Linked DNA regions of Coturnix japonica. The protein of the gene in region 1 interacts with the protein of each later gene in a biochemical or structural test. Links are inferred from orthologs where the notes say so. Each region holds a gene or a part of one and is shown in the gene's direction. Other genes may lie near its edges.

The links.
Region 2: of the proteins of IFIH1 (region 1) and TRIM65, one has a biochemical effect on the other in vitro, tested with the Homo sapiens proteins (2 studies listed by BioGRID, with this or other methods). The link is inferred for Coturnix japonica from reciprocal best matches to the Homo sapiens genes IFIH1 and TRIM65.

What each region holds. Positions count from the first base shown.
Region 1 is NC_029522.1:25,614,624-25,618,678, reverse strand, and holds the start of IFIH1 (interferon-induced helicase C domain-containing protein 1), read left to right. Parts: upstream 1-1,255; 5' UTR 1,256-1,500; coding exon 1,501-2,070; intron 2,071-3,981; exon of another isoform or gene 3,982-3,982; coding exon of another isoform or gene 3,983-4,055.
Region 2 is NC_029533.1:4,022,707-4,026,751, forward strand, and holds the start of TRIM65 (tripartite motif-containing protein 65), read left to right. Parts: upstream 1-1,245; 5' UTR 1,246-1,374; coding exon 1,375-1,812; intron 1,813-2,038; coding exon 2,039-2,134; intron 2,135-2,206; coding exon 2,207-2,440; intron 2,441-2,557; coding exon 2,558-2,738; intron 2,739-2,965; coding exon 2,966-3,049; intron 3,050-3,691; coding exon 3,692-4,045. UniProt on the Homo sapiens protein: E3 ubiquitin ligase that plays a role in several processes including innate immnity, autophagy or inflammation.

The sequences.
Region 1 (4,055 bases):
AAATAAAAATAAAAATAAAAATAAAAATAAAAATAAAAATAAAAATAAAAATAGGAGGCATTACTTCCAGAGCAGCCCTGTACATCTTCTCCTTCCTAGAAGGTGGCAACAGCCACCCCCAAAAATAAAAATAAAAATAGGAGGCATTACTTCCAGAGCAGCCCTGTACATCTTCTCCTTCCTAGAAGGTGGCAACAGCCACCCCCAGAGTGGTCCCAACATCAGGCTGCATTGACACAAGTAAGGTACAGGCATCCTTGTAGTGTCTGCAAACTCTCTGACCCTACAAAGGACTGCTCTGGTATCTGTGCCTCAGGTAACACTGCTGTGTGCACAACATCTGTTTACACAAACTGTGCCTTAGTGACGGCTGCAGGTCCCGAGGCCTTGCCAGAAACACGGGCTGGTAGGTATGTTAGGAATGAAGGTGGGAAAAAGTAGTGGGAAGAGGAAGTTGTTCAAGTGAAACTCCGAAGTGCAGTAATACAAAACAGCAGTGAGTGAAACCAGAGATCAGCAGCAGGGAAACGAAAGTAAAACAACTGAAGTAGGAAATGAAAAGTGACTGAAAATGACTGTACAGTAAATACAAGCAAGAGAGAAAACCGAATTTCTGCAGCATCTCTGAACTGAACTCATCCTGCAGTGCTGCTGGGTGAAACCCAAGATTGACGTGAATTAATTCTGTTTTACACGAGGACAGCAGCCACCTCCAAGGTGCACTTTGGGATCTCTGCAGGATGAAACCAGTGACCTCAGGCCTTCAGATTTATTCCTTTATTTTTAAATTTGAATCACATCTATATAGCAAAGATCACCAGAGTCTGGAATACTACCATTAGTTATGGAGAAGAAAAATAAATTGTGAAGAAAGATTTCATTTGCACAAATATCCAAAGCCTACAGTTTTGACCTGTTAGAGCCAGTAGCAGAGCTAAGTTCAAGTCAGGTACCAGTTCATGGGCAGTACGTTAGGGCTGGTACAGCTGCCTGTGTGGGCAGCCCGACGTGTTCTGCTGTGCTGTGCTCACTGTGGAAACCCATCCGGTTCTGACCCCAGCGTTTTAGGCTGCACCCGAAGGACTGACAGACAAGACAGATCAGTACGTGGGGTTTGTAAAGTGAAGCGTGACATAAAGGCACACGAAGGTACAACTGGCTGCGCTCTGAAAAGGACGTGTCCTGCAGCCGGACGCTGATCTTTCCCTTCCACCGCCTCCTCCTCCTCTTCCTCCTCCCCCTTCTCAACCCCCCCACCCCGGTGCTCCCTCTCGTATAGAGATCGTGGATGAGCTGTGAGCAGCTCTAGGAATGCACGCTCTGGAAAGCGAACGATACGCGTCAGTTTTGTTTTCAAACTCAGCGTCCCCGTTGTAACTATACAATTGTTTGGAATCAACACTTCCCCGTACCCTGCCCTGCCCTACGGGGGTTGGGAATGTCTGCCGTTACGTAGCGAGCAGCAAACGAAACCGAAAGCCACATCGGGGTTCATGTTAAATGCCCGGGAACTGCGGCAGCCAGAGAATTGCTGACGCCGAGCCGGCGACTCCGGCTCCTTCGGCCGCCGCCGTATCCCCCGCTCCCGGTAGCAGCAGAGCCGGCCCGGGTGCCGTCAGCGCAGCGATGTCGGAGGAGTGTCGAGACGAGCGTTTCCTCTACATGATCTCCTGCTTCAGGCCGCGACTGAAGCGCTGTATCCGGGTGTTGCCGGTGCTGGACTGGATGCACTCTCTGAGCCCGGAGGAGAAGGACAGGGTGCGGACTGCGGCGCAGAATCGCGGCGAGGTGGATGGGGCCGAGGAGCTGCTGCGCGCCGTGGAACGCGGACCCCACGGCTCCGGGTGGTTCAATGAGTTCGTGATGGCGTTGAAGAAAGGTGGCTGTGACCTGGCTGCTTGCTACGTGAACCCCAGCCAGCTGCCCTCGCCCCGGGAGGAGGACGACCACGACCTCTGCGTACACCTGGTGCAGCTGCTGCACGGCACGCTTGTGGATAACATGCAGACCAGAGAGGTGGCCGTGAAGTGCTTGGAGCTGGGCATCTTCCAGGAGGAGGACCTGGTTAGGGTAGGTGAGCCATACTGCCAGCCCCACGCAGCTCGGCCACTCCCAGGGGCTGCTGGGTGGAGAGGAAGCTGCAGCAAGAAATGGGCTTGCAAGTGCAGAAATAAACGGGCATAACCCACCTTGGCGAAAAAGCTCCATGTAAGCCAACGAAGGCTGTTTGCCAGCGGTCAGGATGTCAGCTGACAAAGGCTATGACAATGCCATGGGTTAGAAAAGAGGAATCTGGCCAGCTTTACTGTTGTCTTTTGACACAGGCCTTTGGCTTGGAACAAGGGCATTCTGACCCCCAGCTGTGTCCTGCAAGGCACTTGAATTGCCCTCACCTTTATTTTCTGCCCTAGGTTCACTAAGGAATATCATACCCAATAGTAGACTGTGAAGCTGGGCAGCAATACCAGTTTGGCAACAAAGAACGAGCATTAACTTTGATGAAAGCATATGCCAATCTTGGCTCCATTTGGCTGGGAATGGCTTTCCTGAACTACTGTGAAACCTCCTTTGAACCAAAACCAATGGATTCCACCAGTGTCTGAAATGAAAATACGTAGTATTTGCTATAGCAATAAGGCAAAACTTGGTAAACTAATTGTGGATCTGTGTGGTATTTGCACTATGAGCTTTGTGTAAACTTTTAAAGTAGTTTAGTGCTCCATCTCAGTTAAATGAGAGTCATGTGTTTAATTTCATCTGGTTGATGACCATCAGGAAGCAGCAAGGGCCAGCTGTACCACAAGGGATGGGGAGCCAAGCATGCTAACAGGGCAGGCAGAGACAGAAGACTTTTAGGAGACTTCTGGATCCATTCCTTAATGAATGCAAGTGTTCCCTGATCATCTTTATGCTGTTTTTGTTTCTACTTAAGTCTCCTTCGTTACCTTTCACAACCCTGACAGGTTTCAACACATGGGGCAGAGGATTTCTTAACGACATCCCCCAGCAGTGCTGCTGCTTTCTGTTTGCTTTTCTCTGCTCCCAGTTCCCACCCCCTTCAGTCTAATTTAGCAGGTTTTTACACTGTTCAGCCAAATTTAAGTCAGCTGTTATGCCTGCCCATTTTCTTGCATATCTGGATGGATGACTGTTGAACTTTATGGACATTCTTCTGGAAGTCTGAACACCTGTCCCAGGCAGCTCTGCTTTTGGAGCAGTGCTTTTCTTTCCCTTGTGATAATTTGTGTGTCACAACCTTTGAATGCTTTTCTATGGTTTATTGTAGAGTAGTAGTCACTTTTAACAGGCGACTCTTATTATTTTATTATATTGTCTTATTATGTTCTGTCTTTATGGTACAGTATTTGAGAAGGGACACTTTCCTTTTTATTAATGAAGTCAGGTTAGAGGTGAGGTCTGAGTTCTGGTAAGCTGTATTGCATCTCTTCTCCTTAATCCAAGATGGCTCATCCTTAAACCAGAGTGGATGCCAATTATCATATCAAAATAAAAAAAATTAGTATTTATATATTAGTATAATATATATTAAATATATATTTAAGATCACATGTTTTACTAGGTCTGCTCCAAAATTGATGCCTCCTATTTTATTATTGCTGCCCTCGATGTCAGAGGTATATGTTGGTAATATGGCAGCAGAGGGCGAACCTCCCCACCAGTATTCCATTACACGTTGCTGCGTGAAAGATGGGTGTGGAGGAGCAATCTGACTGAATGGCACCTGATGTGGAACCATGGGCGAAGCAAAGGTGTTGCATTAAATTCGTCCGTGCAGAAAATAAATGGCAACCATTGGCATTTATCGATGCTTGCTGAAAGTTTATGGAGAGCAAACAGTGGATATGAGCTCAGCGAGGTGGTGCATTTCCACAGTGGTGATGGTGACATGAAAGTCAAGTCATTTTTCATCTGGCCATGAACAGCTGTCACCTCCACTGGCACAGATTTTGGTGAGCACAACATGCAGGTTTTTGTTCAGCACTGGCGAAATTGCAAAGCTAATGGAAATGACTATGCTGGAACATGGTGCTTTG
Region 2 (4,045 bases), on another chromosome or scaffold:
AACAATCCAGGCCAACTTGCATCTCCTTCCCCTTTCTGTGCTGCAGTTCAGGGCTATGCCAGCTTTCATTTCTGTGTTCAGATTAATGAATCAGATTAAATACTCTGAGTGATGTTGGTGATGCTGACCTGTCTTTATTGGGAAGAGCTTGGCGTACCAGCCAGGTGGTACAGAGCTGGGGGAGCTCTGTGGAGAAGCACAGCTCTTCTGGACTGGATCTCCTTCCCTTCTTGGGCTTTGTAAGGAGGGAGGAGCACAACTACACAGGTGGTGAAGACATACAAGGTCAGCATTTGTGAGGCTGGATTCTCCTAATGGCTGCTGAAGCACATGAACATCAGTCTCCTTCACCTCACTCCCTACACAGCCTGTGCCAGATGTGGATGAATGGAGCACAGACAGAGCTGGCACTGCTGCAGTCCATGCTTTCTGCTCTGCTTTGCAGCGACCTCAGTGCAATCTCTCACTTTCATGTTCTAAATAACTCCCCAGACACATCCTAAGACCCTCCAGCCTGCAAAGGAGCTTGCATGGAAGTGCCCACCTGCTGCCATTGCTCAGCACCATTATCTGCAGGGTGCTCTGCTGCTGTCCTGAGGGGTGAGCACAAAGCAACAGCATGCAAGGAGGTTGCAGAGCTGTTACAGCTTAACTCCAGTAACGTGTGTGCAGCAATAAGGGGCCTGCAAGGGCAAGCAGACAAGGAGTGCAATGAGAGGTTGGGAGCAAGTGAGCGATGTGAAGACAAGGAGAGGGGGTTTGGTGCAGGGCAGTGCAGTCCCTTTAGGCTGCAGGCTCCAGCTGAATGAGGGCTGATTGCCTTGATGCCTGTGTTGTGTTTCAATGCTCAGCCCTGCTGATGTGCACTGAAAACAGGCAAGGAGCAGACTGGGAATGCCCACCTTGCTCTGCAAGCAGCGGTGCCTGAGCACATGAGAGTAGCATGAGCTGCATAATAAGGGAAGATGTGAGGTTGGGCTGGCTGGGTTGTAGCCTTTATCACTGCAGAAAGGAGGACAAGCAGCTGCTCTGACAGATGCTCTCTCAAGGAGCAACGATTGACAAATGAAAGAGTGAAATTGAATTGCACAGAACAGTGCAATTCCATCATTCCACAGTGCAAAACCCATCCAGTGCATGGATACAATGGCATGCCTTGCTCTGAGCCCTGTTAGCCCCTTGCATGGTGCTGTCAGTGCAGCATTTCCTGCATCCTGCAGTGCTGTGTCTGGGCAGCTGCACCCACTGGGTGTCACTTTAAGGGTACTGCTGGCCCAGAGCCCTGACCCGCCCCTATGCTCAGCGTCACACATCTCTTCCTGCTCTGCAGGCCGCTTCCAACCCTCCTGCTCCTTTCCCCATCCCCAGCTCAGCATGGCCTCCCCCACCTCGGAGAAGCTGGAGGACAAACTGCTGTGCTCCATCTGCCTGGAGCTCTTTGTGGTGCCCATCACTTTACCCTGCGGGCACAACTTCTGCGAGCACTGCATCGACAACCACAGGAACAAACAGGAGCAGGCGGTCAACGGGCCCAAGAGGGGCTACACGTGCCCTACGTGCCGCTACAGCTGCGAGCAGCATCTGGAGCTGAAGAAGAACGTGACGCTGAGCGACGTGGTGGAGCTGGCACGGACGGGCAGGGTGCAGGCAGGGGGCTGCGAGGTGGCCCATGTTGGGCTGTGCTCGTTGCATGGCCGCCCGCTGGAGCTGTACTGTGAGGATGAGCAGCGCTGCATCTGCTGCGTGTGCGTCGTGCGGAGGTGCCAGCAGCACCGCACGGCTCTGTTTGAAGACGTGCGCTCCAGGAAGCAGGTGGGGAAGAGATGGGGGGGTTGTGTGCTGAGCTGTGTGGCTGTCAGGCATGGAGGGCGCCCCAAAAGGCAGAACAAGGGGAGCCCCGTTGTGTGACGTTTGTGATCCCTTTGGTTTAGAAAAAAGGGGTGTAAAGGCACGAAGCAGCAAAGGAATGCAGCCTGCCCTGCTCCTAACATGGTCCTTGGGGGCAAGGGGCTGCAGTATGGGCTGCCTCCCTCCGCAGGCTCAGCTGGAAAGGTCCCTGGAAGAAGCCCAGAGAGAAGCAGAGAGGATGGAGCAGGCGCTGCGGGAGCTGGAGGAGCGGGCACAGAGCATCGAGGTGAGGCCACAGCCACCCCAGGGCTGGGCTGGGTGGGAGCACTCCACACCTCACAGCCTTCCATCCCTGCAGGACTCTTCTGAGAGGCTCCAAGCTGTGATCCTGAGCAAATTTACCCACCTGGAGGAAGCGCTGGCCAAGTTCCGGGAGCAGATGGTAGCCAAGGTGAAGCAGGAGGAGTCAGTGGCTATGGGACATATAGAAAAGGACCGGAATGCATTGAAGGATCATCTGGAGGCTCTTGGGCAGCACCGGGACCAGGCACAGCACCTGATGGACTGCACTGACCATCAGACCTTCCTCAAGGTACCATTGGTACACCCCAAATCCCACCCGTAAGGATGGAGAATGGGCATTTTGGGGCTGCCTATGCAGGTTTGGGGGCTGTCACATCTCCCCTGATATCTGTGTGTCCATCTGCAGGAGTTCCTGCAGCTCCCAACCCTGCAGAGCATGGAGGTGCCACCGCTGGTGGAGTTCAACGTGGCTGTTGTGATGGAACCCATGAGCGAGATCCTCACTGCTACCTCCAGGCTGCTGCTGGAGGAGCTGCCTGCCTCGCTGAGCCCCAGTGCCCCTGAAGCACCTGACCCCATTGCCCCAGGTGAGCTTCAGGCTGCCCTAAATGCCTCCACCTCACTTTGGCCATTGAGACTGTGCTGGGACACACGGGGATGAGGGCAGGTATCTGGGTACAGGAGGGGCTGGGTGGTTCCTGCGTGTCCCCTCCTTGCTGCTCACTCCCAAATGTGCACCCAATGGGGTTCCCTTCTCCTCTGCCCTCAGCAGCTGGGTGACATCACCCTCCATGCCTGTCCCTGTCACCCACAGGCCCGGTGCAGCCCGAGGAGACACCAATGAAGGTGGTGTCCAGCCCTGTCCCCAAGTGCCGGCTGCGTGCTGAGCTGCTGAAGGGTGAGGAGCAGGAGGGGGGGATGCTGCAGGGCTGGGGCAGCACTATGGGGTTGGGGAGAGGCTCCTTAGTAGGGGGCAGCAGCACAAGGGATGGCTTTCCCACAGTGCCTGCTATGGGGTCAGCCCCTGCTGATCTCACCCCATTCCCACCCTTCCCGATGCCCCAGATTTGGATGCAGCACTGTCCCAGTGCCAGCACCCAGAGGGGTGTGCAGGGCTGATCCAGTGCCCACCCCACACTCAGCCCTTGGTGCCCCTTCCCTTTTCCTTTAGGGACCGTTTCCTAAATGCTTCCTTTCCCATCTCCTCCCTGCTGAAAAAAAAACAACCCAAATACTTGTAATATTTAGGGTGCTTTGGTCAGGTTGCTTTTCCCAGCAAGGCAATCAGTGCATACAGGACCTATAAGGGTTTCTTCCACTGAGTCGCATGAGCTGTTCTCAGTGTTATTAATAGAAAAACCAACAACATTTATTAGCAGCAGCCAGGAGCCCAGAATAGCCAATGGGACCAGGTCAGTAAATCCCACAACCCCATATCTCCTCCTCAAACCCATCTGTTTAGGGGGAAGGGGGGTTCTGGTGGGGGCTGCCATGAACTTTGGGTTGTGCTGAAGCATCCCCATGTCATTGCTGTCCCCAGATCACCGAAACCTCACCTTCGATCCCGACACGGCCAACAAGTACCTGGAGCTGTCGTGTGCTCAGCGCAGAGCCAAGCACGGCCCCAGCACCGCTGCAGGTTGGCAGGAGCGCAGCCATCGCTTCGAGCCCTGGCAGGTGCTGTGTGTGCAGAGCTACGGGCAGGGCCGCCATTACTGGGAGGTGACCATCTCCAGCCATTCTGTGGTGCTGGGGGTGACTTACGGTGGGCTCTCCCGGCACAAAGTGAAGGGCTGCAAGTTCAACATTGGGCTGGATGGCGGCTCGTGGGGGCTGCAGGTGAGGGAGGACAGCTACGTCGCCCGGCACAAGGGGCAGGAGGAGAAAATCCAGC